Linked DNA regions of Notamacropus eugenii. The main gene of each other region encodes a partner of the protein of the gene in region 4 in a complex. Links are inferred from orthologs where the notes say so. Each region holds a gene or a part of one and is shown on either strand. Other genes may lie near its edges.

The links.
Region 1: MED13 (region 4) and MED1 share a complex: the UniProt entries of both Homo sapiens proteins name them as parts of the mediator complex. The link is inferred for Notamacropus eugenii from reciprocal best matches to the Homo sapiens genes MED13 and MED1.
Region 2: MED13 (region 4) and MED18 share a complex: the UniProt entries of both Homo sapiens proteins name them as parts of the mediator complex. The link is inferred for Notamacropus eugenii from reciprocal best matches to the Homo sapiens genes MED13 and MED18.
Region 3: MED13 (region 4) and MED31 share a complex: the UniProt entries of both Homo sapiens proteins name them as parts of the mediator complex. The link is inferred for Notamacropus eugenii from reciprocal best matches to the Homo sapiens genes MED13 and MED31.

What each region holds. Positions count from the first base shown.
Region 1 is NC_092873.1:354,984,870-354,992,192, forward strand, and holds the start of MED1 (mediator of RNA polymerase II transcription subunit 1), read right to left. Parts: upstream 3,007-7,323; 5' UTR 2,741-3,006; coding exon 2,716-2,740; intron 1-2,715. UniProt on the Homo sapiens protein: Component of the Mediator complex, a coactivator involved in the regulated transcription of nearly all RNA polymerase II-dependent genes.
Region 2 is NC_092876.1:69,438,585-69,446,488, reverse strand, and holds the start of MED18 (mediator of RNA polymerase II transcription subunit 18), read right to left. Parts: upstream 3,014-7,904; 5' UTR 2,904-3,013; exon of another isoform or gene 2,764-2,903; intron 1,225-2,763; 5' UTR 1,212-1,224; coding exon 1,139-1,211; intron 713-1,138; coding exon 159-712; 3' UTR 1-158. UniProt on the Homo sapiens protein: Component of the Mediator complex, a coactivator involved in the regulated transcription of nearly all RNA polymerase II-dependent genes.
Region 3 is NC_092877.1:388,545,406-388,552,682, reverse strand, and holds the start of MED31 (mediator of RNA polymerase II transcription subunit 31), read right to left. Parts: upstream 3,003-7,277; 5' UTR 1,062-3,002; coding exon 1,031-1,061; intron 879-1,030; coding exon 801-878; intron 264-800; coding exon 167-263; intron 1-166. UniProt on the Homo sapiens protein: Component of the Mediator complex, a coactivator involved in the regulated transcription of nearly all RNA polymerase II-dependent genes.
Region 4 is NC_092873.1:373,002,835-373,010,330, reverse strand, and holds the start of MED13 (mediator of RNA polymerase II transcription subunit 13), read right to left. Parts: upstream 3,013-7,496; 5' UTR 2,885-3,012; coding exon 2,819-2,884; intron 801-2,818; coding exon 566-800; intron 1-565. UniProt on the Homo sapiens protein: Component of the Mediator complex, a coactivator involved in the regulated transcription of nearly all RNA polymerase II-dependent genes.

The DNA.
Region 1 (7,323 bases), about 18 Mb from region 4:
CATGCTTTAGTCAATGCCCTATACTTGGAATTAAGTTGCCCCAGCATCAGTCTTAAGGAACTCAGCTGCCAGCTCTCATATGGCACTTTTTCTGCTCTTGCTCACTCTCTCTCTCTCTCCCTCTCTACTTCTGAGTGAAAGTGAACACCCCTTCAAATTTCTTGTCATACTTTGCCTGGGTCTCTCACATTTATTATCAAAATGTCCAAAATGGAACTCATTATCTTCTTCCCTAACAAATCCATCCCTCCTTCTCCCAGTTTCCCTATTTCTTTCAAGAGCACCATAATTCCTCTATAACAATCAATTTCCCAAACTTGGCATCATCCTTGATTTTGCTCCCCATATTAAGTCAGCTACTACAACTTGTCAACTTTGCTTCCATTTTTCACATATGTCCTCTTCTCTCAACTTATTCTAAATTAGCTCCTTGAGGATATTGGGTGTTTCAATTTTGCCTTTAAATCCCCAGTATTTAACAGTGTCTCACACAGAGTACGCACTTAATAAATGCCTGCTGGTTGACAGATTTAGGCTCCCACTTTCTCTAATCTGGACTACTGCAATAGCCTAACTATTCTTCTTATTTTCCATTTCTTCTCTCCAATCCATCCTCTCTACACAGCTACCAAATTAACAATCCAAAAGCACAGATCTGATCATGTCACGTTCTTGTTCAAGAAAGTTCAATGGCTCCCTATTGTCTCTAGGACATTTAGTGTCCTTCACTCTGCCTTCAACATATTTTACCAGACTGTCACAATCCTTTTCCCACATTGTACAGGATGTTGACATTCCTCCCTATGTATGGAATGTTGCCCTTTCTTAATGCTGCTTCTTGGAAGCTCTAGCTATTATATTTTTGCATTTATTTGTCTGTGTTTGTGTGTGCACGTGTGCATATGTTTGCATATATGTGTATATACAGCTTCTCCCAGTAGAATAACATTCATTTTGTCTCTATATAAAAAGTACACAACACATTGCCTTGATAAATATTATGTTCTTGATGAGTTTTTGTGGAACTGAATCTTACCAGACCTGGTACCAGAGGTGTACACTTGGCCTTTCTCCTCATTAAATTGTAAATGGAGTCTGTGTCATCTCTCAAGAAGCACTGAGAAATCATGGATGGAGTGCTGGATTTCAGTAAAACATATGCTCAAATCCAGCCTCAGGTACTAGCTATATAAAGGCAACCAAGTCACTTAACCTCTTTGAGTCTCAGTTTTCTCATCTGCAAAGGGACAGGAACCGGACCAGTGATCTCACTAGTAGAGGAAACTCCCAGATAGGAAAACTCCCTCCAGCAAATCAAGTTAGTACACCTTCTCTGCAACTTGTGGATGCCTGGAGTACTAAGAGATGAAGTGATTTTCTCAGGGTCACAGAGTTAGCATGTGTAACAGACAGGACTTGAGTCCAGGTCTTTCCAGTTTTGAGGCCAGCTTTCTATTCTCTAGACCATATGTTTCTTTAGAAGGAAGATAATAATAGCATCTACATTAGATGGTTTTAAGAAGGATATGCTATTATTAGATGGTTTTGTTTTGAGAGAATGTACCTTGTCATTTGATCCAATAAGTATTTATAGCATCACAGTGCTCAATGCTTAGGAAGACCAAATGAAACCAAGACCAAACAGAAACAACCTATACTCTCAAGGAGCTTATTTTCTACTATAGAGAAACAACACAAGCAAGTATAAAACAATACAAAGTAACAGGGGAAAGCACTGACAACTAGAGGAATAAGGAATATGGGGGTGGGCAGCAAAAAGACAAGTAAGAGCAGGAATGTCATCCGGATATTTGTTGGAAAGTATCCACTGTATCAAAACAAAGTCTAAAGACCATAGACAGCTAGGTGTCATGGTGGATAAAACACTGAATCCGGAGTCAGGAAGACCTGAGTAAGTTCAAATTCTGTGCACTAGCTGGATGACCCTGAGAAAGTCAATCTCCCTCAGCTTCAGTTTCCTCTTCTGTAAAATGGAGATAATAACAGGACCTACCTCCCAGAAACGTTGTTAGGGTTAAGCACGAGAAAACCTACGTACGCAAGTTCTGCAAACATCACTACACTCTATCAATGCCGGTGCAGTGCACAGGGTGGAAGGACCTAAGCCTTGGCCATTACTAGATCTCCGGGACTCTAAGGAAACCACGGGAAGTGTCTCCCTCAGTTTTCCAGTCGGAGAAGTGGGAATCACCACTTACCTCCCAGGGCTGTGGTGAAGCGAAAATGAGATGAAGCTAGCCAAGTGCTCCGCAAGCTCTAAAGCGCTATTATTCGTGCTACTTAATAGACTTTTTTCAAAAAAAAGCAGCGAACCCCACGCTCGATCGGAGGGCTGCTCGTGCTACAAGCTAGCCTCTGGATCGGAACAGCAGTTATTCGTGGGTTTGTGGCACGTCTGTTATTTCTTGAACATCCATGATGCCCTTCTGCTTCTCCTTTACAAAGAGTTTACTCGGGCTTGCAGGTAGAGGATCCTCGAGGCCACCTAGGTCCAGCCACTCCCCTGACGACCCCCCGCCAGGACGTCAGCAGCAACGCGGACCGCCTCTCCTCCCGTTTCCGGCCCGCCGCCTACAGCAGGGGACGGCAAGGGCTCTGCCAACCTGAGAGGGGTCCACCCGCTTCCAGCAGGACCCCAAACCTGTGTCTCCGCGCCCGACCGGGCCCGTCCTCCCCTCGGCCCCAAGCACTAACCTTCTGCCTCTCCCTGAGCCTTCATCCCGGAGGCGGGGAAGGAGGGCCTTCGCCCGCCACACAACGGGAGACACCCTTCCCCACCCACCAGCGGGGGGCCGAGCCGCTTCAGGCTTCCCGGGGCGCTGGGCTCCGGGGCCGCCCGCTCCGCCCCCCGCCTCCGGGAGGCTCAGTCCGAAGCGCCCGGCGGCAAAAGTTGAAGGGTGCCCGCGGCCGCCGCCATCTTCCCAACGGACCCTCCCCAAGGCTCGCGAGAGCAGCGGGGAGCCGGCGCACGGGCGTGCGTACATACGTATGCGTGCCTGGTGCAGAAGAAACACGCAAACAAGGCTCGCGGAAAGGGTCTCGCGAGATTTCGCCGACTTCCTCTTCCTCTTTCTTAGGGTTTGTGAGTTGCAGGTTCTCTCCAGTGGCTTTCACAGTTGGGAAAAACGCCTAGGGCTGACAATACTATGAGTTTGAAGAAGTAAGCGCTTGCAGAAATCGTTTTTCCAGTTTTGGCAACCAGAGAGTTTGCCGTCTAAGGCTTTTTGTTCGTAGCTGAGGAATCCTCTCATCGCTGTCATCCCAGCTCCTAGGTGTTTAGGGCTTGGAGGTGGCCAAGAGTTCCTCGTGCTTCATAAAACGTGCGGCGACCTTGCGAGGCAGAGAGCATGGCCGCTGTGGTGATCTCCACTTTACAGATAAGCGAACTCGGTGCTAGAGAGGTCTGGGGGGACTGTGGAGATCATTTACGCCAACCCCTTGGCTTTGCAAAAAAGAAACCAAAAAACACCAAAACTGAAATCTAGAGCGATTCGCCAGCAACATTAAACCCATACCAAGCGCCGGACACTGCTGGCGGTGGAGGGTACCAGTGCAAGAGTGACTTAGCCTTTGTCCTCAGGGAACTTAAATTCTAGTAATGTTTGACTTGCCTGAGGTCATGCAGATAGTAAAGAGCAAAGCTGGGCTTTGAAAAGTGGCTGTAACTCCCGATTACTGCTTTTTCACTTTCCACCATTCGTGGTTGTGTCCAAAGGTCATGGGTATAGTTAGTAGTAAAACCAGAATTTGAATGCAAATCTTATGGCTAGTCCAGGGCAGTTTTTATTACATGAAGAAACCACCCCTATTTTTCATGATCACCCACAAGCCTTAGGTTAAGAATAACCACTTTTCTCTCCAGCTTCATTGTTCTGATATAAAAATATATTAGAATAAGACAGCTGTTTCCATTAAGAATGCATTAGTCCGTGCGTCAATACCCTGTGGAGAAGTGCTTTTTAAGCAATATTAGAGCCAAGAGAAAATCAAGAAAGAGATTGGGCCACTCTGCAGGCAGTTGGGAGGGTAATGATGCATATCAAAAAACTCAATTCTTTTTTTCTGTTTTCCTTCCTAAGGAAATAAATCTGACAGGGAAGTTTCATGATTTTTTCCTTAGGCAAAGAAACTTACCAGCCTGGAGATGATTTTTCTTGGTGAGAAAAAAAAAAGCAACAATAAATAAATAAATTTTTAAAAAGAAAAAACAATAGTTGAATATGAAAGCCATTATCATTAGACTTTGGAATATTAAGCAAAAATAGTTGAAAGGAAAGAAACTCAAGTGAGAATGTAAGAAACTATCTGGCCTCGAATCGCTAGGCTTGAAAAAACTGCCTCTCGGAGTAGTGAAAAAATTTAAGGGATATGATTGCTGAGCGATGTTTGAAAAATCATGGAAGGAAGGAATGTTGCCAAAGGCCTTCTGATGAGCAAATGTCCTGGCTTTCAAACAGAGAAAAAAATTAGATTCCTTATACTGTGGGCCAATAAGCTTGACTTTCATTTCTGACAAAATTTTAAAACACTCTATAAAGGGTTAGCTTATGAACCCTTTAGGAAGGAAACAACGATCACCATGTACTATCAGACAAGATTGGGCTGTATGTGTTAGTTTTATTTTGCTGCTTTTTTCCCGTTATTCTTTGTTAAAAGGGTTATACTTTGTTACATGGGACAGGGTAGAAAAAGGGGACAGTTGTGATCAAGTATGAATGCAATCCAAAAACAAGATATCAATAAAAATTTTAAGAAAAAATTTTATATTAAATTAACTTCACTTGGTTTTTTTTGGTCAAGGTTTATAGATCAAGAAAGTGACATAAAAATAGCATATAAGGATTTCATCAAGACATTTGACAAAAGTGTTTTATAATAATACGCTTGTGAACAAGATGGAAAGATGTGGGCTACCTGATAGTACAGTTAGGAAGGTTTCAGGAACTGGTTAAACAGCTGCTCCCTCTTCCCCCAAATAGTTATTAATAGAATGATGTCAACCTGAAGGGACTCTAGTTAATGCCACCAGGCTTTCATCCTAGAGCTTTTACTTCTCAACATTTTTATTAGTTGCATGACAGACAGATGGCATACTTGTAAAATTGAAAATGTCACAAAGCTGAAAAGGATAGCAAATATGCTGAGTGACAGAATTGGGATCCCAGAAAATCTTGACAGGCTAGAGCAATGAGCAGAATCTAGGAAAAGAAAATAATCTGACAAAGATAAGGACTGGACTTAGAATTTCATTGGCATGAGGAGCCCCTCCTCTACCAGTATGTATGGGCACCTTCCCTGCAATGTGCAGTTGTGAAGAGTTGCCAAGAGTAATAAGAGGCTAAAGGACTTGTCATGAGTCACATAGCCAGTATATATCAGAGACAAGACACGAACCCAGACCTTCATGGTTTTAGTTCACCCTTCTTATCCACTATACTGTACTGCCTCACCATGCCAAATCTAATAGGATAAAATTTAATGTGATAAATGCAGAGTCCTTCACTCAAATTCAACAGACCAACTCTTCCATTACAGTCTATAGAAAACATGACTGACTAAATTTAGGACCTTTTAGTGCACTGTAAGCCCAAGATAAATCTCATCATGACAGCAGCTAAAAAAGCAAATATGATATATTGCATAATGGAAGTATAGTGTCCAAATTCAACCATAGTATGCCTGGCAGGGCCTATCTGTAATATTGCAACTGGTTCTGTGCAACATGTTTTAGGAAGGTCACAGACAGGAATTGCATACCAGCATAGTGCTGAAGATGCTAAGAAGATAGGAGGTAATGTCATCTGGAGATGGTTAGCCTGGAGAAGACTTTGTAGGAGGTAGAGAGGACAAAAGAAAATATTTGAAGAGGGATTGTACTTGGTCTTTTTTGGTCTTAGAAAACAAATTTTAAAAATTGTATAAAAGTAATAGAGGCAGATTTTAGACAACTATTCAAAAGTAGAATGGGTGTGGCAGCTAGGTAGCATAAAGGATAGAGCATCAGCCCTGGAATCAGGAGGATCTGAGTTCAAATCAGAATCTCAGACACTAGCTGTGTGACCCTGGGTAAGTCACTTAATGCCAATTACCTGAAAAAACGTGAAATGGATTGCTTCAGTTAGTAGTGAGCTCACAGCCTTTGAGAGTTGTAAAGCACCTCAGTGGCTAACTGGTCCAACTCATACAAAAAGAATCCGTACTCTTAATATAGCAGACAAAGACCTCCAAGGAAGAAGAGCCTACAACCTCTCAAAGCAGTTCTTTCTGGTATTGGATTCATCAAATTGTTAGAAAATTTTTCCTGACATTTCTACCCATTGTTCTTATTTGGAGGGGAGGTACTGTGTAATGAGTATAATCTCTCCTCCTCAAGATGGTCCTTCAGATTTTTTAAGGTAGCATTCCAGTTCTCATGTACCCTTTCACCCCTACCCCATTCTCCTTTATCCTTTGTTGAACATGTCCAATTCCTTTAGCCCATCTTCATTTGTCCCTTTCCATTTCTGTTGTCCTCCACTTTGCAATTTATATTGATATCTTTCATAAATCATGGTACTACAGTATTTAAGATGAGGTCTGATAAGGGCAGAGGACTGTGATATTATCCCCTCCCTGTTCTTGGAAGCTATAATACAGTGACTAGGTATATAGTAAAACTATTCCTAAGTGCTTTATGGATCTATGTCCCTCTTAATGTAGCCTTCTGGGAACATTAGTGCTAAGATAAATAATGGAGGATATGGGCATGCTAATTGCCATTTAAGCATGAAACCAAAAGAAAATACTCTAACATTAAAAAGGTGTTGTCGGTAACTGATTTTACTCCTATTTCTTCATAAAAATATTAGCAACTCCTATCTTCCCCATGAAAAACTTGTAAAAATTTATAAATGATCTAATTTTCTCAAAATTACAAAATAATGTTAGACATCTACACCAATTTGCATGAAGAAGCTAGGATAATATATGTAAAAACTATGATCTTATATTTGGAAAAAAATTGTAAATGTCCAGAGAATAAATAGAAGCTTGTTGCTTAAAATTTTTCCAGTTTGCTCAGGATCACACAGCCCATCTTCTGTCTGAGGCAGAACTTGAATCCAGCTCTCAAGCTTCAATGCCAGCGCTCTAGGCATGATAACACTCTGCCTCTTTAGTAGATGAAAGGAGGTAAATGTTCCATAATGGATATTTAATAAAATAATTGTTTATCTGAATTCGGGAGCTCTGAGTGATTCTTTGCATCAGACATAGAAGCCCAGCTGGAATTCACACAAAATGACATCCAGCTACTTGTATCTT
Region 2 (7,904 bases), on a different chromosome or scaffold from region 4:
TAGAAAAAGAGATGTGAGGTCCAGAGCTCAGGTAAGTTCCTGGAACCCTTATACTCAAGGTTAAAAAGTTCAATTTTTGTTGCTCAAGTGTATTTATTTGGAGTCTTGATTTCTATTACGCAAAAGAACAGATCCCAATGTTAGGCAGTCCCTTTCTGTCACATTAGCCTTTTGGGATCTATCTTCTCCAAGTGAACCAAAGGCTTTAGTTGTTCAGCAAAATTTCTCATGTCATCAGAGACCATGTCCTGTCCTGCTGGTGCCACAACACTTAACTCCACAAGATAAGAGAGGGACAGGGCCTCTGTGCTATCTGTGTTTCCTGGCATCAGGATTCGGAAAATCTTGTATACCATGATTTTCATGATACCTTTTCGAAACAAGTGGCCCTTGGCAACGAACTCATGGTCCATTCGAAAGCCCATCTCCATCAAGAAATCAGTCAGGTTCTCTGACGTGGCAATGTCTACACAGTTACGTACTAGGGCATGGCGGTTCTTGTCCCCCATTTCAGGTTGTCCCAGGTAGCGCAGATGCCAGGGTGCCCCAGTCTTGTCCATCGACCTCCGGGCTCTTAAAACAAAAGGGCTAGCTTGTTGCCCCTTTAAGAGGAACACCATTTCATGGTCAAGAAAAGTCTCAGGTTCCATGTTGTCACACAGTCCCCGAAGTCGGTGAATGAGGCTCTCTAGACTGTGATCCAAAACACTTCCTAAAGGGAAGGAAAACATCACGGGAACCTCATTCTTCACTTTCATTAGGAAAATAAAAAACAGAAGGAGCATGACAGAGGACATGAATTCCTAGGAAGCTCCATTAAACCCTGAACATCATTCTAGCTTTCTACATTTCAGATAACCATCTACAAAACCAAAATACAACTTGATCTTAGAGATCACCTTACTCTAATCCTCTGTTTTTACAATGAGCCCCAAGGGCTACTCAACCTGAGTATGAATTTCCTTATCTGGAGGTCACAACCACTTAGTGGCAAAGCTTGACCCAGAATCCAAGCTTCCTATTACCCGCTCCAGAACCATACATACCATAGCTGCCTTATTTCCTGGCAAAAATGTTTATCATAACTGATTCAAAGAGGACAAAATGGGTGATATAACAAATTCCTAGGCTAACTTACCTTGAAGTAAATACTCCATCATATTTATAGTGCCACCTGTTACTGGCATCATGGTGACTGGAGGTGCCTCCATATTGTCAGCTTCCCTGAGTGATAAGAAACAAAAGAAAATCTGATTCAGAAGGGATCCTTGGATTATAGAAGTGATAGGACCTTACAGATCACTTTGCCCAATAAGCTGATTATATTTTTGTATTTTAAAGTAAAAACACTGAAATAAAATTAAACTACACATAAAATCATAGACTTCACTTCGAGAAAAGAAGCATCTGCCATCTTTAACAAGGTAACTAAAATATCCTGTTTATGTCCCCTTTTTCCCCCACTTTTTATTGTTTTGATTCTGCTTTCTTACTGGGGTATCACTTTATGGAAGCTCTCCCACATTTATTTATATTTTAATACTTGTATTTTTTTGGCACAACAGAGCACACTCCAGTGGGAATCGGAAAACCTTTGTTTTAAACAGTAGCTCTGACACTTACTGGCTACTAGGACCATGGATATATGACCCAACCTCTTTGAATCTCATTTCCCTTGTCTATGAAAAGGGGATGACACTCCTTAACTATCTTAGAGGGTTATCACATGTGAAGTGCTCTGAAAACATTGAAAAGTTAAATGCCACTAATTATTACCACTGGCTACTGCATTAATAAAATAGTGATAACATAAAGCATTTACGTTTTACAAATAACACATTGGATCTTCACAACAACTCTGGGAGATGAGTGTTGTAATTATTTCCATTTTACAGCTGAGGAAACTGAGGCAGGGAAGTTCAGTGACTTGCCCAGCATCATCCAGTTAGTTAAGTGAGGTCCAATGCTCAGTCTTTCCTCATTTCTTTTCTTATAGTTTTCCAGAAGTCCCCAACTGGATGTTTCTCCTTGGTGGGCTAGGTCTGGATCTTTCTTCTGCCCTCATGACACTTCACCTTGTATGATAGTACCTACCTACATGTCACTTCCTCTCTCATAAAGCCTGGGTTATTTCTCACCTCCTGCACAGCCCAGGTCATGATAGCTAGCCTGGGACCACTCGCTCATTACTCAAAGACCCGCCGTTTTAACATAAATCGTGCTAGATCTGGGAACGATGATGGCTTCGGACCCCTAACCGACCTAAGGCAAATCCCTTAAACCTTGGGGAGCCTCAGTTACTTTATTTGGAAAAGGGGGACGGGGAAGGAAAGGGAAATAAGACCGTGAGCCCCGAAAGAGAAAAAAACCACAACCACCCCACCCAGAGCCTAGGAATCAGAAGACTCATCTTCCTGAGTTCGAGTCGGGCCTCAGGCTGGGTCTGCCTCAGTTTCCTCATCTGTAAAAGGACAAAGCGCTCCAGGATCTGAGCCCAGAAAAGTCCAAACGGGGTCAGGAAGAGCCGGACTTAGTAAGAAACGAGTGAAATAGACTGGGGTTGGAAGGGGCCTCAGAGACCGGTTTCTAAATCTTATTTTACATTGGAAGAAACCTCGGCCTGGAGGGGGATGCTCTTTGGGGCGCCCCCCCCCCCCCATCTACCGCCGACCCCCTCCCGCGCACACAGAAGGGGCGGGCTCAATTAAAAAAATTGTGAGGCCAAACTACGCATGCGCCGCAACAACGAGAGGCTCAGCGTACCCCGGACCCTCAGGGCTGCAGAGGCTGTTGTTCCAAGGCCAGGCCAGCCCGGGGCTAGCTTCGGCTCCACTCCGCTGCCCACAGCCCCGGGGCCGAGCTCCCTCTCCCTCCTCGTCCCCCTCCCGGAAACCCGGACGCACCGAGGCCCGAAAGCCCGTGGTCCTCGCTCTCAATTCTTCTAATCAAAGCGCAGCCGGCTGAACGTCCGGGTGACTGCGAGCGAGCATGCGCACAAATCGGTTTTGGAGTCGCCGGAAAAGGAGAGCATGCGTAATGTGTGGTCCTTGCGTACGGAAGATGGCGGCCTCCAAAGAGAGTGCCCTGTGGAAGGCGCCATTCAATTCGTAGCTTCCTGGGGTCGCAAGATCTATAGCTTGAAACAGCCTACCTTACTGATCATCTTATTTGAAGGAAGGAAAAAACTAACGTTCAGACAGGGAAAGAGACTGGACCTTCAGTTTCTCTTTAAAACCAAGACTTTTTCCTCTACAAAGTCCTCTTTATTAAATGCTTCCTGTATGCAGGCTGGGCCAGCAGTCCAAGTGCTCAGCTGGACTTGAAATCAACGAGACCTGGGTTCACAAATCCTGCCTTGGATACTTAGTAACAATGTGCAAATGTGTTTAATAAGATGGTACATGAATGGCCTATATCAGATTGTCTTGGAGAGCAGGCACATGAGGGAGAGAGAGAAAAAAATGGGGACGCAAAATCTTATAAAAGTGAAGGTTGAGAGCTATCTTTGCATGTAATTGGAAAAATAATAACTATGAAATAGGGGGAAAAGGATACTTAGTCACTGACTCAAACAAGTCTTGATGAACTTCTGCCAACTTTAACGTCTAAGCAGGTTACCTTGTACAAAGACTCAGCCATCTGGTAGGGGGAGCTCCCAAGCTGAAGAAATTGGAGATCCTTTTATCCTTGTCAGCTGAATTCCAGGGGGTAAGCCTCAGATCTCTTAGGGGAAACCAGACCAACCAGAAAGCTGTCCTCTGCCCTAGTGAGTTCACATCTACTGCTGCTGAACTCCACCAAGTCTATCTCCCTGAAACAAAGTTACCTCACAGTTCACTTGGCTAATTCTATACATGTCACTTTCCTCTTTTTGGAGGAATTGATGGGACCAAAACGGGTAGCTAGTATGGCTTTATTTTGTTCACTCTGAATCATTGCATCAGTCTTTCCAAATATCTCTTAATTCTTTGTACTTGTCCTTCTCTACAGCAGAGCAACATCCCATTACGGTCATACGTTAGAGTTTAGCCATTGTGTAATGGGCACATGTTTTGCTTTCAGGTTATTGTTATTATAAATACAACATCCCTGTATATCTTTGTACTTAGAGGTCCTCTTGTGTTGTCCATGATCTACTTGGGAATACTCCTAGAAAAGAAGTCTGACATTTTGCCACCCTCCCCAATTTAAACCCTCCTTGGACCATCCTAATAGCTTCCTAAATTGTCTCCTGGTCTTTAGTCAGTCAACAAGCATTTATTAAGTACTTACTATGTGCCAGGCACTGGACTAAAGCCTTTAAGGAACTCATATTCTAATGTACAAGCAAGCATGTACATATAAAATATACATGGGAAATGGGAGGTAATCTCAAAGAGAAGGCACTAAGAAAGGAGAAAACTGGGAAAAGCCTCTTGTAGAAGGTGAGATTTGAGCTGAGTTTATGAAAAGGCAGGGCAGACAGGAAGTAATGATAAGGAGGGAGAGCATTCCAAATAGTCAGTAAAAAACAAAACAAAACCCAGAGTCAGGAGATGGCATATTATGTGAAAGGAGGTCAATACTGCTAGATAATAGAGAATGTAGGGGGAGGAGGATTGAGTTGGAAGGCAGGTTAGGGCCAGCTGGTGGAAGGCTTTAAAAGCCAAATGGAGAATTTTATATTTGATTCTGGAGGCAATAGGGAGCCTCTGGATTTTACTGAGTGGGGGTGATATCACTTTGATCACTTTGGGAGCTGAGTAGAGGATGGAATGGAAGGGGAGATACCAATCAGAAGGCTGTTCTAATAGTCCAGGTGAGAAGTGAGATGGGTATGCACTGGGATAGAGTGGGGAACCTGCCTTTAATAAAAGGATTTGTTCTGTGAAGTTTGGATTCAGTCAAAGGGCTGAACGTGAGGACCTAGAGGATCACATGTGGCCTGGAGACTGCAGATTTTCCACTAGAGTGATTACAAAAAGAGAGTTTTTATGTGAGATAAAAGTAAAGGTAGAAATGACATGACTTAGAAATAGACTGGATACATGAGGCAAGTACAAGTAAGGGATACAAGATGACACAGAGATTGGAAATCTGGGTGAGTGGGAGAATGGTGGTACCCTTGACAATAATAGGGAAGTCCAAAAGAAGGGGTGTGTTTGAGGGAGAAACACTGGAAATGCTGTTTGAGAGAACTATAGGACACTGTTTGACATGACTAAGAGGCAGTAGTGGTGGTACACCTCTGTAATCTCTCCTATTGGGGAGACTGAGGCTGGTGAATCACTTGAGCTCCAGAGTTCTGAGTTGTAGTAAAACTCAAGCTTATCCAGTATCCCCTAGTCATGAAGGGCCCTCAGGAGTGAAGGACCCCCTGGCTGTCTAAGGAGGGATGAACCAACACAAGTCAGAAACAGTGCAGGTCGAAATTTCTGTTAACTAACAAACAGTAAAATCAGGAAGAGATGGTGTGAGTTTCAGCCTGGATGAAATAGTTATTCAGTTTAAAAAAAAAAATAGAGGTGGTTGGTGATATAAGATTGGAGGTCAGGAGGGAGATTACAGCTAAATAAGTAGATTTGAAAATAATGAGCACTGAGTTGATCATTGAACCCTTGGGAGCTGATGGGATCACCAAGTAAGATAGTAGAGAGGGAGATGAAAAGAGAACCTACGATTGTCGGATACCCACAATTAGTGGGTGTTGCCCAAAGGAAGATGCAGGAAAGTAGGAGCAGTTAGATAGGAAGAGAACCAGGTCATAAAAACTTAGAGAGAAGAGAGTTCAAGAGGAGCTGGTGATCCATAGCGTCAAAAGCTGCAGAAACAAGAGAAAGGAAGAGGATTGAAGAAGCCATTAGACTGGGCAATTAAGAGAACTTAAGATAACTTTGGGGAGAGCAGTTTTAGTGGAAAGATGAGGCTGGAAGCCAGATTTCAAAGAGTTTAGAAAAAATGAAAGGAGAGGAAGTGGAAGCATCTATTATAGACAGCCTCCAACTGTTTCCACCCTATCGCTAAAATAATCTTCCTACGGAATAGTTTTACCCATGTTCCTCCCTTGCTCAAAAATTTTCTGTGGTTCCCACTGCTTTATCAACTAGAACACAAACTCCTTAGCTTATCATTTAAGCCCCTCCACAAAGCACAATGCCTTGAACATAATAGATATTTGATTTAAAAAACAAACAAAAAAGGTGATTACCTTTCTCACCTTATTTCACACGTTTCTCCTTCATATGTCCTATATTCCAGCTAAACTGGACTGCTAGATATTTCCTTATCTCCTCTTATTTCTCCCAGCCTCTGTGCACTCCTATGGGCCATACACCACACCTGAAATGTATACTTCTTCCATCTTCGTTTATAGAAATCATTCTTTTCTTTCAAGGCTCAGTTCAGCTACCATCTCCCTCTGTGATAAGGGAGGTTTCCCCTGATCCCTTCAAATGAAAATGCTCTCCTTCCTTCAGTTTTCCTAGAACACCTTTTCTGATTTGTTTTTTGCCTTTTTTTCACCTGTATTCTATCTTGTACCATACTTATTTGGGCACTTAGAATATTCCCTTGGAGAGCAGGGACTATATTTTTCTTTTCTTTTAAAAAAAATGTTTTTATCCCTTGTATCTATCACAGTACAATGCACGTAGATGGTAGGATGTGAATGGTATGTGTTGGATTTGGAGTTCAGAAAATAAATTCAGATCCTGATTCTTGCTCTGAGACCATGGGCAAGTCATTCAACTTCTCTGACCCTAATATAAATGTCAGTTTTTATTAAGAAATATTGATTGATGCAAAGATGTTTTCTTTCAGCACACATTAAAAGCTCATTATATGCAAGACGCTGTGCTAAAGAGAGGCACAAAGAAAAAAACGTGTAATCCCTAACCTCAGAGAATTTACTAGGGAGCAGACATATAATACAGCCATAGAAAAATAGGAATTTGATAAGGGAAAGCACTCTACCAAGCCAGAGGGGGATTGGTGGTCAGATAAGGTTCTGTGAAGGAGGTGGCTATGGATGTGAAGTTACAGAGAAAGGATAGTTCTAGAGTTTAGAGAAGACCTAGAGTGATTGAGATTTGCCCTAGGCTTTGCAAAGAGGAGGAGAGGGCATTTGAGGGTGGGAAAAGCAAAGGCACCCAGAGCAAAAGCTAGAGAATGCAAGGTGTGTTCTAGGGACAGTAAATAATCCAACCTGCCAGGTGTAGAATATTTAAATAAGGGAGCAATGGGAGATAAGACTGGAACTTGTAGGTTAGGACCAGTTGCCAAGGGTCTTAAATGATAAACCAAGAAGTCTGAACTTTATTTTGCAGGTAGTCTTTGAAGTTTTGGTAGGGTTTTTTGGTGTTTTTGTTTTTTTTTTTAAAACAAAGGAAAGATATAACGTAAGTTGTATTTTATGAAGTAGCATGTGTAGTATCTAGTAGCTTATGTAGGATGGACTAAAGAGAAAAGTAACTAGAAAGGAGGGAGAACAGTCAATCATTTATTAAATGCCTACTATGTGCCAGGCATACAGATAAAGGCAAATGCCGATCCTTGCCCTCAAGGAGCTCCCAGTTTAATGGAGAGGACAACATGTAAAGAACTATGTACAAAAATTTAGGAAAATTTTAGGAAAGAGCTAAGAGAGGGAAGTCACTAGAATTAAGAGGAATTGGGAAAGGCTTCCTATGGAAGGTGGGATTTCAGTTGAAACTTCAAGGAAGCCAGGAGACAGAGATGAAGGAGGGCTTTCCAGGCATGGGGCACAGGAAGGGGATATTGATTGGAGAGTATCCAAGTTGATTGGATACTAAATGAAAGCAAAAAGATTATTAAGACTGCATCTGCTTCAATTAATCAATCTATCCATCATAGGCTTGGAGCTAAAAAAAGTTCTTAGAAGTCATCTAAACCAATCTCCTCATTTT
Region 3 (7,277 bases), on a different chromosome or scaffold from region 4:
CATTTCAACTTGACTTTTCCTGACTCCCAACAGCTGCCTGAGTTAAGGATGAAGTACAGCTGGCACTCTGCCAACCCCCAGAAGGCACCTGGGAAGCCAGTCAGGTATTATTTCTTCTAAGGCAAAACATCAGCTTCCAAATTCAGAATTCGCTGTTGAGACTTACTTCAGGTACTTGGCGTAGTCTGGCTCTTTCCAGTAAAGCAGGTATTTCAGATAATTGACGAAAGCTTTGTCCTTGAAGTACCCTCTTTGGGCAAGGACTGGAAGACAAAGAAGTCACTCTGGGGCCCACCTGCTCACCCACAGGATGCAGACAAGAGAAACCCTCCCAGGGCTGGGCATGCCAGCCCCTCTCCGATAGGCCAGATCACCATCCCAGACCAACTACTCAGCTAGGTCTTTTAAGAAAGTGAAAGGGGTGGAGGGAGGGACACTGAAATGGATGGATGAAAAGAGATAAGGAGGTAAGCAGGAACAGGTGATTGGAGAGAAAGGCTGAACAAAGCTCAATTACTAGAGTCGAAGCTCGGGTAGAAAAAGGGAACAGCTTGGGGCATTTTGGCATTTCTCAGTGCTGAGTATGACTAAGGATGATGTTCAATGCCTTGGGGCAGCTCAGCCCCAGGATTACCCCAAAGTCTCAAAATCATTCCCTGGCAGCAGATTCAGTTTCCCCTACCTGCTGGCCCTAGTGCCCTGAGCCCTGCTCTTGTCAATAAAAACCACACACAGTCGGGACCCTGCCCTTGCCTCCCCAGCCGCCTCTAGCACCCAGCTCAGCAGCCTCGGGGACTCACAGTTCAGGTAGTTGGGGTTCGCCAAGCACTGTACGAACTCCAGCTCCAGTTGGAAGCGCAGCCGGTTCCCGGCGTCGTCTGCGGAAGAGAGGAGAGCTCAGCGCGTCCGGAGCCGCGTGAGATTCCGCTCCCGCCCCAGCCGAGCCTCGCAGTCCTCCCACCGCGAAATGGGCCGCAGCCAGGAGCTCACTTCCCCCCCAGCCCGGAACCGGCCAGGAGCCTGCACTCACCCGAGGTCTCCATGACGACGGCGGCGGCCATAAGCGAGCTCCCGCCCCGCCCCGCCCCGCTCCCGCAGCCGCGCCAGCGACACCGCGGGCCCTAAGACCCTGCGCCGCGTCCCACCCCACGCGCTTGCGTGCCGCGGCGTCTTGTGGGAGAGGGGGCGGGAGATGGGCGGTGGAGGAGGGGCTGCGGGCGGTGCTTCAGGGAGAGGCGCGCAGCTGCCTGGGAAAGGGGGCGCGGAGCGGGGCCACCCTACCTCGGGATCACTGCGCCCTACAGAATTCCACCCCGCCTGGGCTCCGGGCCGCATGGGGCTGGGTGCTTTGTAAGTGCCCGCCGCCGAGCACCCGAGGCACAGGTCAACCTGCTGAGGAGCTGAATTACAATGTAGCAGCTATTGTTACGGGGGCGGAGCGCGAGGGGAGCCCCTGAAACTGACTTTGTCTGGGTCTGGAGACTTCTCCCCGGTAGAATGGATTCAAAGTAACTGTAGATGGGGAGCCCGATCCTGAAATTAAGTCGGACAGATTACTGTCGGATGGATACAAAGTAACCACAAGCAGCCATGGGCAGGGGGCGGAAGGAGCAACCTTGAAATTAACGCGTTCTATACTAGGAGCTGTACGGGGAGGATGTATACAAAGTAACTACCTGGGTAGGGCGCAAAATCCAATCCCTGGGGTCGGGCGTGAGGGCTACACTGTTACTTTACTATCTGTAACTCCGGAAAAATGCCCTGGAGAAAAACCAAACATCTAATCTCTGACTGATCCTGCTGTGCAGCCCCGAGACCTAGCTCACTCTACTGCCTGGCCTCTCTGGGTCTCCTGCGTTGCCGATTTTTTTGGGAGGGAGACCTCCAACTGTCTACTGGCCATCTCCCATAAGATGTCTTGTAGACTTCTTCAGCTCAGCATGTCTCAAACATTACAGGCCTCCATTCTTCATTTTTCTATTAATGTGGAAGGCTCCTCTCCTCCTAAGTCTCTCCCTCTCCTTTCCCCTTTCTTTTTCCATTTCCTCCGATCCCTTCTCCTCTACTTTCCCTTCTCTGATGTTCTGTCCGAAGGAATGTAAATTTTGATGGTGGAAAGCTTCCTTCTTAAACTTGGGGTTTACTGACTAGATTTCTTTTTCAAAGACAAAGCCTTAAACCCAATTTACCCTGGATCTGAAGGACTGACCACAGTAGATCCCTGCCTTAATGGTTGTTTTACTGGCCCTCCTGGCTTAGAGTGAATGCAAATATTAACTGTTTCTCTTTTGGCCAGCAACCCTGAAAGTCTTCCCCTTCCAGTTTGATTTTATTATTATTATCATTAAAGAGATCATCCCTTGAGAAGACTTAAAAGGGCTGAGATCTCCTACTGCATCCTCCTCCAGATCCTAATGGATATCTGGCCCCTGAACCCAGATGGCTCTGGAAAAGAAAGTTGCCTTGCATAGCCCTCCCTCACTCAAATCAAAGTCAATTGCAAATCATGTCATCATCTCCCTGATGTTATGGTCCTCTTCAAGAATGAAGGACAAACCACACAATCACTACTGTGGAAGGCACTGCCATCCTCCTAGTCACCCAGATTTGCAACCTAGGGGATGTTCTGAACTCCTCCCTTTTACCCCTAGATCTAATTAGTTACCAAGGCCTGTCACCTTCGTAACATCTCTCTACCTGTGCCACCACCTTGTGCAGTCCCCTCATCATCTCATATTTGGACTATTGAAGAAGCCTGCTGGTGGTCTGCCTGACACAAGTCTCTCCCCATTCCTCTGTTGTGAAATAGGGCCACTTCCCTCATAATTGTCAGCTAGGTGGCACACAGTGATTAGAGTGCCTGGCCTGCTGTCAGAAAGACCTAGTTTAGAATCTGGTCTCAGGCTCTTAGTTGTATCTGGGCAAGTCACTTCACCTTGTTTGCCTCTGTTTCCTCATCTGTAAAATAAGCTGGAGAAGGACTGGGAGGAATGATAAAAACAACCTTTTGTTTCCACCAAAATTATGTAATATGTGACTTTTTTAATCCAGGGGATGCATGCGTACCAGGAAGTCTTTTGACTTTGCAGCAAATGCAGGAAAGTAAATTGGCTGTAGAAGACACTAACAGCATAGACTAGCACTAGAGTATCTTCCAGCAGCAGAAGGAAAATTGAGACACGTAATAGAGAAGTGTGTGTCCATAAATTTAGAATAACAACCAGCAGAGTGGGAGACATAACTCCTTCCTCGTGTCTCACGCAGCAAAGCATGCTTCCAGCTGGGTTTTATCTTGCTTTGAGGTTAGAAGTCAACGGAGTAAAGTCTTGCTTGGAATGCCCATTCTCCTCCTTTGGGAGGGCTAAGGCTTCATCTCAGTGGTTACACGATGTGTGTACAGGAGAGGGAGAACATGTGAGGGAGGATCAGAAACCTGTACGCCCTGCATTACCCAGCCTCTAGGGAGACAGGAGAGGGACTTTGTGGTGGGGCATGGGTTTTTAAGGCTTCCTTTTGTTTCTGGAGGGTGTGTCAATCCAGCAGGACGCTGCAGTGCATTTGTAAACTCTTCTTTTATCTTCATCTCTCTGGAGCCTGAATGAGTTATTTTTCACACCAGGAACTCAAGCAAATCCATGGTATGGATAAGTCTCTCCCCATTCCAGTCAGCCCTAGAATGCGCTGTCAAAGTAACATCCTTAAACACAGATCCAGTCATGTGATTTCCTGCTCAATAATCCCAACAATTCTATACAGCTTCTAGAAGGAAATATAAAATCCCTGCTAACAGGGCTTTGCTGAAGTCACCTAGAGCTGCCCAGCAAGTGGGGGAGCCCACAGCTCCATGCTCAGTGTGATCATTTACACCTTGGGAGACAGTGAACCCCACACATCACAGTTGGAGGGATTGTTGTGCTGATTGTCTAGACTTAAGAAAGTGGTGGAGAAAATGTTAATTACACAAATTAAACTGTAAAGTGTCTCATTTGCCCCTCAAGAACTGCTTGTTAACCATCTATCTGCACACCACTGCCCATTTAGCCTTTAAAGCTCTTCACAGCTGGCCCCAACCTGCCTTTTCAGACTCACTTCACATTTGTTCCTCTCCCTCTTGCACTCAGCCACCCAGCCCAACTGTTCTCTCTGCCCCTCCCACATGACGTTCCTTTCCTCCCTCTCTCCCTTCCTTCCTTTCTTCCTCCCCTCCTTCCTTCCTTCTTCCATTCTCTTCCTTACTTACTTATCCATGCACCCAACAAATACTTCTGGAGTGCCTGCTGTGTGCTCACAGCTTGTGTGAGGGCCTGGGGATGATATAAAACAAAGCTGGCCAGGTCTCTGTACTCATGGAGCTTATACTCTAGTAGAGAGGAGGAAACATGACGTGTTCCTTCCAAAGTCTGTGCTAGGGAGACATTCCTTCTGGCTAGGGTAAATCTGACCTGTTTTGCTAGGGTGGGTCACTTCTCCTTCATCCCTCTCAACCGAACTGGGAGATGGGACTGGGGGAGGGCATCAGAGTAGAAGAAAGAACAAGACATCGTGGGAAGCCCCCTCCCCTCACCCCCCATGAGATTCCAGTTAAAGCCCAGGCTCTAACCCTCACTGACCCTGTCACCTGGGCTTGTCACTTCTTCTGGCTAAAATGGTAACAGAAAAACATGCATTAGGTAATAGACCCTCCTCACCCTGCAGGGCTGTTCTGAGGATGCACTGCACAGTTCTTTAGAGACAGGAGCTCTTCAGAAAGCATGGAATGGGGGGTCTGGGCAATACGCAAGTCTAGTTCAGCACATGGAAATAGGCTTCGAAGCTAGCCATCAGGAGGCCCAGATGTGAGTCATGATTCCTTAGTATACTAGGGAACAAACTGGATTGCCTTTGTGGAACAGCTTCTGTTTGGGTTAAAAATGATGACAGGCAGTGGGAGGTGAAGGATCCCTAACAGACCAGGCCCTGGAGCTCCCAAGTCACTGTGCTCCTTAGAGAGCCCCCAAGATGGCCAAGGCAGAGGATCCCAGCAGCATGGAAGGCAGCTGGACTTTCCTATGGCCTACTCAGTGCCCTGTGCATTAAGTTCTTCCTGGAGCAAATAGTTTTGCATACAGAGGTTTCAGGGTCATCTACATCCCGGAAGACAAGGCAATGCCCCAGGTCATCAAGATTCACAGTGGCAAGGAGAGTCCAAATCCACTTCAGGAGACTGGGGGTCAAAGAGGAGGAAGGGAAAGAGAAGCTCGCCTCCTAAAGCCATGGACCAAGGTTCTTTGGCCAGCATGGGGAGAACTGGATCATCCCTGGACAAAGCTGCTTCTTGTGTGCCAAGGGATGATGGTGGATGGGAAAGGCCCAAATCTTTGACCACCTCACTCCCTCATTCAAAAACTATGGCTCCCCACTGACTCTCAGATCAAGTGAGAATGCCCCAGAGTGGTGGGCAGAGGCCTCCACAGTGTGTTTCCAGTCTGCCTTTCCAGACTCACTTAGCTACCTTCACAAGCTCTCCAAGCCAGCCAGACTGTCCTGTGTGCAGCTGAGGGATGTCCCACAGCAGCCCCTCCAAAGCTCAGCATCCTCAGGAATCATTGCCTCTCTAGGGACCCTGCTCTTCTCCACCCTTCACTGAACAGCTCTCATGGCAGGAATAGAGCCCTAATCTTCCTGTCCACCTTCCCCCTCACTGGCCCTGGTACTGCCCCGGAGCTGAGCAGAAGCAGCCTGGACCTTCGCACCTTGGCAGAATTGGATGGATGTCGGAAGCCTGCCCTCATTAAGGCTAAAAATGGACAGTAGGGGGCAGCAGGTGCCCAAGCAGAGGTTTCACTGGGCAATGAGAGAAGGCTGGTGAGAGGCCAAGGGGGCAGGAGCCATCTGGTCATTGCTTCAGCATCCCCAGTCTTCAGTTTAGTTCACAGATGGAGAGCTGGGAGGAATCTTAAGTGTCCTCTGGGAAAACTGAGGTCCACATAGAGAAAATAACTTGCCCTAGGTCACTCGTGAGAAATAGCAGAGGTAGATTTCAGATCCAGGGCCTTCATTTCCAAGTCCCCTGAAGCCTTAGCTGTGAGGGGCTTCTCAGACCCTGAGGATTTCCTGTGGCCCTGACCTGGCGCTGGCCTTTCATCTGATGATGGGGCTCTCCAAAGATGGCTTTTCTCCTTTGTCTTTGATCCTGAGCTCCTCTCTTGGCAAAGGCCCTGATCTTTCCTGGGATTGTTTCACTGTTTGCTGATTTGGGGTTGGGCTTAGTTCTTAGGTCTTGGATGGAAATGGGAAATGCACCCCTAGACTGAAAGAAGAGCAGGGGAGGGCTTGGAGTCACAGGGAGGCCCCACCTGGTGCTTGATCTGGGCCCCTGAAAGCAGGAAGGAGAGCTTTGAACCACCAAGCAGCAGAAGTATGGGTGAGAGAGAGTACCCACCAGTACAGGGCAACCCCTTAGAACCTGGGCCATCCTTGGAACCCAGTCCACTCCTTTAGAACCGGGGCTATCCTTGGAACTTGGGCCTCCCTGTGGAACCTGGGCCACTCCTTTAGAACCCGGGCCACTCCTTTAGAACCCAGGCCACCCTTTGAGACTCAGGCCACCCTTTAGGGGAGGTAAAATTATTTTCAGATATGCAGAGGACACACAGTAGAGACAAGGGAAGGTAGGCTGCATCTTTTGGAAAGCTCCCAGGAAGCATGAGAGAATCCCAGTCCCCAGCTGGTCCTTCCTGCTTCCTTGTCTCATAGAAGCACATATAAAATGCTTTACCATACCATCTCATTTGATCTTTATAGCAACCTTGGGAGGCACACATGGCTACTGTCCCCTTTTCCTGATAAGGAAACTGAGATTTAGGCAGGTTAAGGGCTTTGCCCAGCGTCAGTAATCTAGGAAGACTAGACAGCTAGTGTCTGAGGCAAGATCTGAACTCAGGTGGTCCTATCTCCAATTCTAATTCTCTGTCTACCTAACTTAACCTGTCCTGGGCTTGCATGCTGACCAGGGAGAGGCGGTCAGGAAGGGCCAGATGTCCTTATTGTCAAGTCTCATGTTGTCCTGCTGATCACAAGACTGAGTTCATCAGAACGTGGGTCTGAGTACAGATTTGGCCTAATGACCAGGCCGAGATTTTGGAAGCCTGACCTTGAATTCTGGCTCTGCCACCAGCTTTGGTCAGGCTGTTTCTCCCCCTAGATCTCAGCATCCTCCTGTGTCACATGTGGTCCCACCCCTGAGGTCTGGGTGGGAGTGCAGTCTGTATGCTGAGCGTGCCTATGTCTGGCCTTCC
Region 4 (7,496 bases):
TGCCTGTGTTCATAATGAATACCTATACCACGTTGCCTCTCAATTATTTTAAGCCTAGGTAAAAGCATCATAAGTTAGAAGCCTGAAATGCTAGTTATAAAATAGTGGTTATTTTCACTACTAGAAAACAGCAATGGAAGATAAAATTCAAGTCATTTATATTGGTCCCGAGAATACATTCAATGAAGTCCTGTACCAGATTTACATTCTGAATTGAATTGTTTAGGTTAATGTTACTATGTATTTGCTGGGTAGGAAATAAACTAATAGCAGGGATGCAAAAGCCTACAGGGATTAGTGATGGGAGAAAGACATTCAAGATTCTACAATTTGCCACAGAAAATCTACAATGTAAAAAACAAACCAAGCACAGGAGGATCAATATTCACAGGGAATTGGAATCATATCAAAATTTAGTTTATTCTGGTTTCATCCATGATAACTTACCCTTTTTTCAAGATATAACTTTTTTTAGTGTTATTTAAGAAAATCTGCATCATTAATACAGCCCCCAAAAGGTTCATAATGCTCTCTTATGTTACAAATGTATGAAAATTACTCTCACCTGCTAAGTCATGGTGAATAAGGTCAGCAAAGTTGGGGTCCTCACCCCACCAAAATATCCACAATTCTCTTCTTCCAGGTCTCTGATCTCGCCGCCAAACACCAAGTACATCTGCCTTAAGGCAGCGACTAAAACTGCTCAAAATGGGGTCTTCTTCGGTCACCGGAAACAGAATTGGGGCAGAAGTTGGGCCTTGCCATACATATCGTTTCCATTTAATTCCTGTCAAGTCAGCCTACAGTTAAAAAAACAAAAAAAGTGTGATTACATTATCTTACATTCATACAGAGCCAAAATAAGTGTCCTTTAAAGTTTCTTAAAGAGATTGTCATGCTTTTCCAATGAAAGCTTTGAGGTATAAGACCTAAGAAGAAGAATTATGCAACTTATACTTCATGTCATAATATTTAACGTATTTAGAGAACAACTCATTTCTGCTGTATTTGACTCCTCAAGGACAGGGGCCATGTCTTATTTATTTTTGTAATCTCTGGATGTCTTGCAATCAGAAGTCACTCATGTTTCTTCGATGAATATTCTAATTTATACTGGCTGCCTATAAAGTCAAAAATGTTGGGGAAAAAGCCTCAAGGGTAAGAAGTGTCACAGGATTGGAAGGTACAGAATTTGAAGAGACTTCAGAGACTGTCTAACCCAGTCTGCTTCACTTTACAGATAAGGAAACTGAGGTTCAAGGAGAATAAGTGATTTGCCAAAGGTTACATAGACAGCATATATCAGACTGGATCTAAACCCAGTCCCAATCTTCCTTTACTATTCCACAGCCAATGCAGCATTACCTCCTTCAAACCCCTTGAGAGTTTTTTTTTTTTAAAGTATCTTGTAACTACGTATTTGAAAATTATTAACATTTTATGAAAATGACATCTGAAGCAAACTCTTTCCAATTCTTCACTAAGAGTTTTAGGCAGTCTTCACTATTTGTTTATAATGAACTGTCAGATCTGTACTAGTCTCTCATCATAAAAAACAACAAAAATTAAAATACAAGATAAACTGAAGTTGGAGAAACCAGAAGATAAAACCTAGTTTTAAGAGAAAGCTGTGTGCTCAAAAAGGATGACTAACATAGCCCAACTGTAAGAAAATATTTCCCCATACTTTAAAATTTAAGATTGTGGGGAGGAAAATTAACAGCTGGTATTCCAACTTGTCTTCAGTCTGACTTCAAGGTACAAAGCTGGAGGTGCCAAAAATGAAACTGCTGATACATGACCGGCAGCTTACACTTGCCAACTAGTTGTGCTCTCATCCCCTCAATTAACTTTCCTGACTCTGATATCCCTTTAATGTTTTCCTTACAGACAGGCAAACAAAAAAGGTCAAACTAGTCACTTAAAAACAAAAGCTAAGAGTTTCAGATTCAGAACTAGAAAGTTTGCAACAGTTGAGATGTTTTCAGGCCTGGTCAGTCTGGCACAATGCATTCCTCCTTAGCTGCCTAGCTTTCCCAAGCATCTCACTCCAGTTAAAACAAGGAGCAGTCTGCTCAAAATATTTTAAAATGCATACCAAAATATACACAAATATAGAAACATTCAGAAGCAACACTACAGCACCTCCTCCACTACTGCCCTCTACTCACACACAACACAATGTTCCAGTCAGAGCAAGATGACTAGAAAATTGTCAAAAATGGAAGGAAAAAACTTTGTTTTCAAAGTAATAATTAAAAATAAAAAAAACTATGAAATGGCATCCCTGAAATGTTTCAGAGCGCTCTCTGCTAGTTATAAAGGTGAGCAAGTTAAGAGGAGGAAAAAAAGGAGGGGGGACAAGTCTTCTTGGTAAAATTGGGGTTTTGCTTGGGGTTCTGGGTCGGGTTCCCTGCAGGACCGCTCATTTAAAGGGGCGAAGGGAGCAAGGAGTGAAAGAGACCAGGGCAGACCAGTCCTAGAAAAGTGTGATGGGCACTGAGAGAAAGCAGCAGCTGAACAGGAGAATGGGGTGGTCGGTCCGGGGCCTGGCAAGGGAGGAGAGGAAGAGGGTTTGGGGAGAGGGATTCTGGGCAGGGGGAAAGACTCAAGACGAGCCGGGGAGGGGGCTGGAGTCGGGGAGGGGGGAGGGGGCCCGGCAGCGCCCGGGGCCGCCAGCAGCGGGCGGGGAGGGGGCCTAGCCCAGGCCGCCGGGGCCTAAGCCGGGGCCGGGGCCCCTCGGGACGGGGGCACGCACTCCCTCGCTCCCTCCCTCCCTCCGGCCGTCGCTCGCCCGCCCGCCCGCTCCCTCACTCACCAGGCAGAAGAGGTTACAGTGACAATCCTCTAGGCTGGCCCCGTTCGGCACGAAGCAGGAACTCATCGTCCCTCACAGCCGCCGCCGGCGCCACAACCCACCATCCGCCATTACCGCCGCCTCCGACCAGTGAGAGAAACACAGACGCCGGGGAGGGAGGCGGGCGAGCGGGCGGGCGGGCGAGGGAGCAGGGGAAGGGGGGTGGAAGAGGAGGCCGCCGCGGGGCCGGCCAGCCGCCCGCCCTCTCTAACCCACTCCCGGCGGCTGCCCCGGCCGCGGCCCCGGGGCGGAGGGGTCAGCCGGGCCGAGCCTGGAGAGGAGCCCCGCCCGGGGACGAGGGGGACGGGACCTGCCGCCGCCGCCGCCTCCGCTGCCGGGCCCCGGGGACCCGCCGCCCCCCGGCTCAGCCGAGGCCGACGGGGGCTCGCTCTCACACGCTCACTCGCACTCAGTCACTCACACACGCACTGGCACGCACACGCAGCCCCCCGCGGCACGAGAGGAGAGATGAATAATTAATAATAAATTACAGAATAAATAATTAAAAACCTAAACAGAGGCCGCAGCGCCCGGACCCAGACTGGGGCGCAGGGAAGGGCGGGCGGGGAGGCAGGGAAGGGGCAGGGCAGGTAGGGCAGGCGGGCGCGACTCCGGCCCCGACCCCGGCCCGGCAGCGGCTCCAGCGACGTCCTCAAGCCCGGAGTCTGCTCAGCAGCGGCGGCGGTGGTGGCGGCGGCGGCGGCGGTGGCGGCGTCCGCGGGCTGAGACCATTCTTCGCTGGTGGTTTCGCTTCTCTCCCTCCCTCCCCCGGACCGGGCCGGGCCGGCCTGCCCGTCCGCTCCTCCCCCCCCACCGCCCCCCGCGGCCTCACCGCCTGGACGCGGTCGTCTCCCCCATTTTGTGGGCCCGGCGGGCGGTGTTTTTCCCCCTTTAATCCGAATTCACGGGTTTTCCCTTCGCTTTAATGGCGGCCGCAGGGACCAGCTCGGCCTCTCTGCCTGCCCATTGGACGCGGAGGGGTCACGTGAGCCCAGGCTCCAGGGGAGGGGGGGAGGAGGAGGAGGAGAGAGAGAGGAAAGGACCAAGGGACTGAGGGGCCGGGAAGCCGGAGAGCCCCGGCTGCTCGCCGCTAGGGGCGGCCTGGGAAGCGGGTGGCAGCTGAAACAGCGCCGCCTAGTAAGTGCTCCTGGGTCGGAGCCCGAAAGTGCGCTTCTAGCCGGCCTGGCACCTTCCTGGGAAGTTACAAAACTGAAAAAGCGAAAAATGGCAACAGTAGCCGAGTAAGGTTAACTTTGTAACTCATTTCGTATACAAAATGTTGCAGGTTGTCTATTGCGCTATGTAGGCAATCGATCGGTGGAATATAGTAACTAGGAATTGTATAGCTTTCCTTACCGCAACGCTATAATTATTAAACCCATTTTACAGATGGGGAAACTGAGAGCCATAGAGAGGAAGTAACTTTCTTTTAGTAACTTTTTTTTAAAAATTTGATCATAGGATCATAACGAGAAGGGACCTCCAATGCATCTTACAGATGAAGACTGAGGAGTCAAGTCACACAACTATTAAGTGTCAGAAACAAGGATTTGGTGCTATGCCAGACTGTCTTTGAAGTGTTTCTTTTTTTAACATTACAATCATTTCCTGATTTACTCTCACATTCATACTTATTAAATGTCCTTTGTAACACAGGTCTGATAGTGCCTCCCCGATGGTTAATGAAATAAGTGACTGCTTATTATTTCTAGGAGCAAATACAAATTCCTCCTTCATAACCTTCCCCCCCCCCCAGCCACCCACCCAATAACTTTCTCAGGTTCATCATACATTATTCCCCTTCACACACTCTAAGGTCCAGTCAAATTTTCGTTTTTTGCAATTCCTTATTCCAGATACTCCATCTGTCAATTCCATGGTTTTGTAAAGGCTGTTTCCCATGCCTGGAATGAATTCTCTTAGCAACTGCACCTCTTGGAATACCTAGTTTCAAAGCTTAGCTCAAGCACTATCAGGCACATGAAGCCTTCCTTTCCAGATTCACCCAGCCACTTGTACCTTCCCCTTCAAAAAAAAAAAATCTTGTATTTATTTTTCATATACTTATACAGGCACTTGGTTTTCCAACAGAATGCAAGCTTCTTTCAGGGACAGACTATATTCCTTTTGTGCTTGTATCTTCAGTGGTTAGTACAATGCCTACCTAAAAAGAGCCCAAAACACTGTAGGCATTTGAAAAATGCTTGTTGGCCGATTGATTAACAAAAGAAAAACAGTTAAGCCAAACAAAGGGATGAATAATAGTAGTTCACCTTTGTATTATGCTTGAAGACTTGCAAAGAGCTTTACATCAGCAATCACATCTTAAGGTTGACAGTTGAGAACCTTGCCTTCCCCACCTCTCTACGAAGAAGGATATGTTTCTTCATCTTTTTTTTCAGGCACCAAGACTGTTCATTGAATTTAATCTGAGATCAACTGCTTTTTAGGGTTGTTTTCATTTATGTTATGCAAATGTAGTCATTGTGTCTGTCTACTGTTCTCTAGATTCTGGTTTCTTTCTTCTCCCTGCATCAACACGTGCAGGTCTTTCCATTGAATTTCTCAAATTTGGTGGTTGTTAATTTTTTTTTCTTTTACTGGTGCAATAATCTTACACTCATATACTACAGTTTATTCATTCAATTAAAGTGGATGCTTACTTCCAGTTTTTTTTTTCCTTTACAAGCACAAAGAGTACAGCTATGAGTATTTTGTTCTATTTGAGACCTTGTTTTCTGTCATTGCCCTCCTCAAGGGATAGACCCAGAAGTGGGATTGCTGAGCCAAATGGAATGAGCAGTTCAGGGACTTTTCTCTTAGTTCCAATTTGTTTTCCAGAATGGTTGGACCAATTCACAGTTCCACCAACACCAACTATTTCTGTCTTGTATCATCTTTGCCAATCTGATGGCTGTGAGGTGAGAACTCAGAGTTGTTTTAATTTGCATTTTTGAGGTCATTAAATTTTTATTCTTTTTATTATGAACTTAAATATCTGGAGCATTTGTTTCATATGGTTGTTAATCAATTGACTTTCTTCTTCTGAAAACTATTCCAATCCTTTGAGGTGAATTCATTAATTCAGACTCATACTAAAAGTCAGAGGTGGAATTCAAATCCAGATGTCTCCTGGCTCCAGGTCCAGACCTCTTTCCACTGGGCCACAGCTTCCGTAATGGTTATATTGTTTCAATAACCTATTTGAATTCTTTGGAAGAAACATTTTCTCCAAGTACATTGAATTACTATATATATGCTTAACCTTCCACAGAAGCTCTACCTCCAAGCTGCATCTCCAGGATTGTGACTGTAACCCTGGGTTATTAAAGGCCCTGTAGGGTTAGCAGTTTGTAATCCCTTGAAGTTTCAGCTGGGTTCGATGTATTTCAAATCTGGTCTAGCCACAAACTGTTTCTGCTTTCTGAGAGTGAGTCTAACTGGTTTCATCACTAAAATCCGAAACATTTGATTTATATATATTTTTGGTCATAAGGAAGGTTGGAAATTTTTAAAATAGCTTTTCTTTTTCTATCTTTTGCTTTTACATGGCTAATAATAGCTAACATTTATATAGTGCTTTCAAGTTTACAAATCACTAGATGTGTTATCTCTTGGATTTTCACAATAACTTGATATGCATAGGTGCCATTATTATCCTCATTTCACAGGTGAGGAAACTGAGGTTGAGATGTCAAGTGACTCGGCTAATACAGCTTGTAACACAGTTAAGGCTGAGACAGACCTTGTCCCTGAGGAACTCACAGTCTAATGGGGGAGACAATAGGCAAACACGTATGTGCAAACAAGCTATATACAGGATAAACTGGAAGTAACCAACAGAGGGCAGGTACTAGGGTTAAGAGAGATTGGGAAAGGCTTCCTTTAGTAGGTGAGAATTTAACTGGTGCTTAAAGGAAGCCAGAGAAAGTAGGAAACAGAGATGGAGAGAGAGACAGAGACAGAGACAGAGAGACAGACAGACGGAGACAGAGAGAGAGCAAGCACATTCCAGGCAGTGGGGGCAGTCAATAAAAATGTCCTTAGGAAATGAAGCACAGGCATACCTCCACCTTTTGTTTTTCACTTTATGGAACTTTGAAGATTCTGAATTAAAAAAAAGAATTTGAAGGTTTGTGGCAACCCTGCATCAAGCAAGTCTATCACCCATTTTTTCCAATACCATGAGCTCACATCATGTCTCTGTGTCACATTTTGGCAATTCTAGGAATATTTCAAATTTTTAATTATTATTATAGCTGTTAGGGTGAACTGGGATCAGTGATCTTTGATGTAACTATTGTAATTGTTTGGGGGCACCACAAACCCCACTCATATAAGACAATAAACTTAATAAATGTTGGGGACGTTCTGACTGCTCCACTGACCTATCATGCCTATCTCTCTCCTCAGGCTTCCCTATTCCCTCAGACACAATAATATTGAAATTGGTTCAATTAATAACCCTACAATGGCCTCTAACTGTGCACATGAGAGAGTCAACCAATGAGGCAAACTTCATTGTTGTCTTATTTTAAGAACTTGCCATAACCACCCCAACCTTCATCAACCACCCTGATCAGTCAGCAGCCATCAACATTAAGGCAAGACCCTCCATTAGCAAAAAGATTCTGACTTG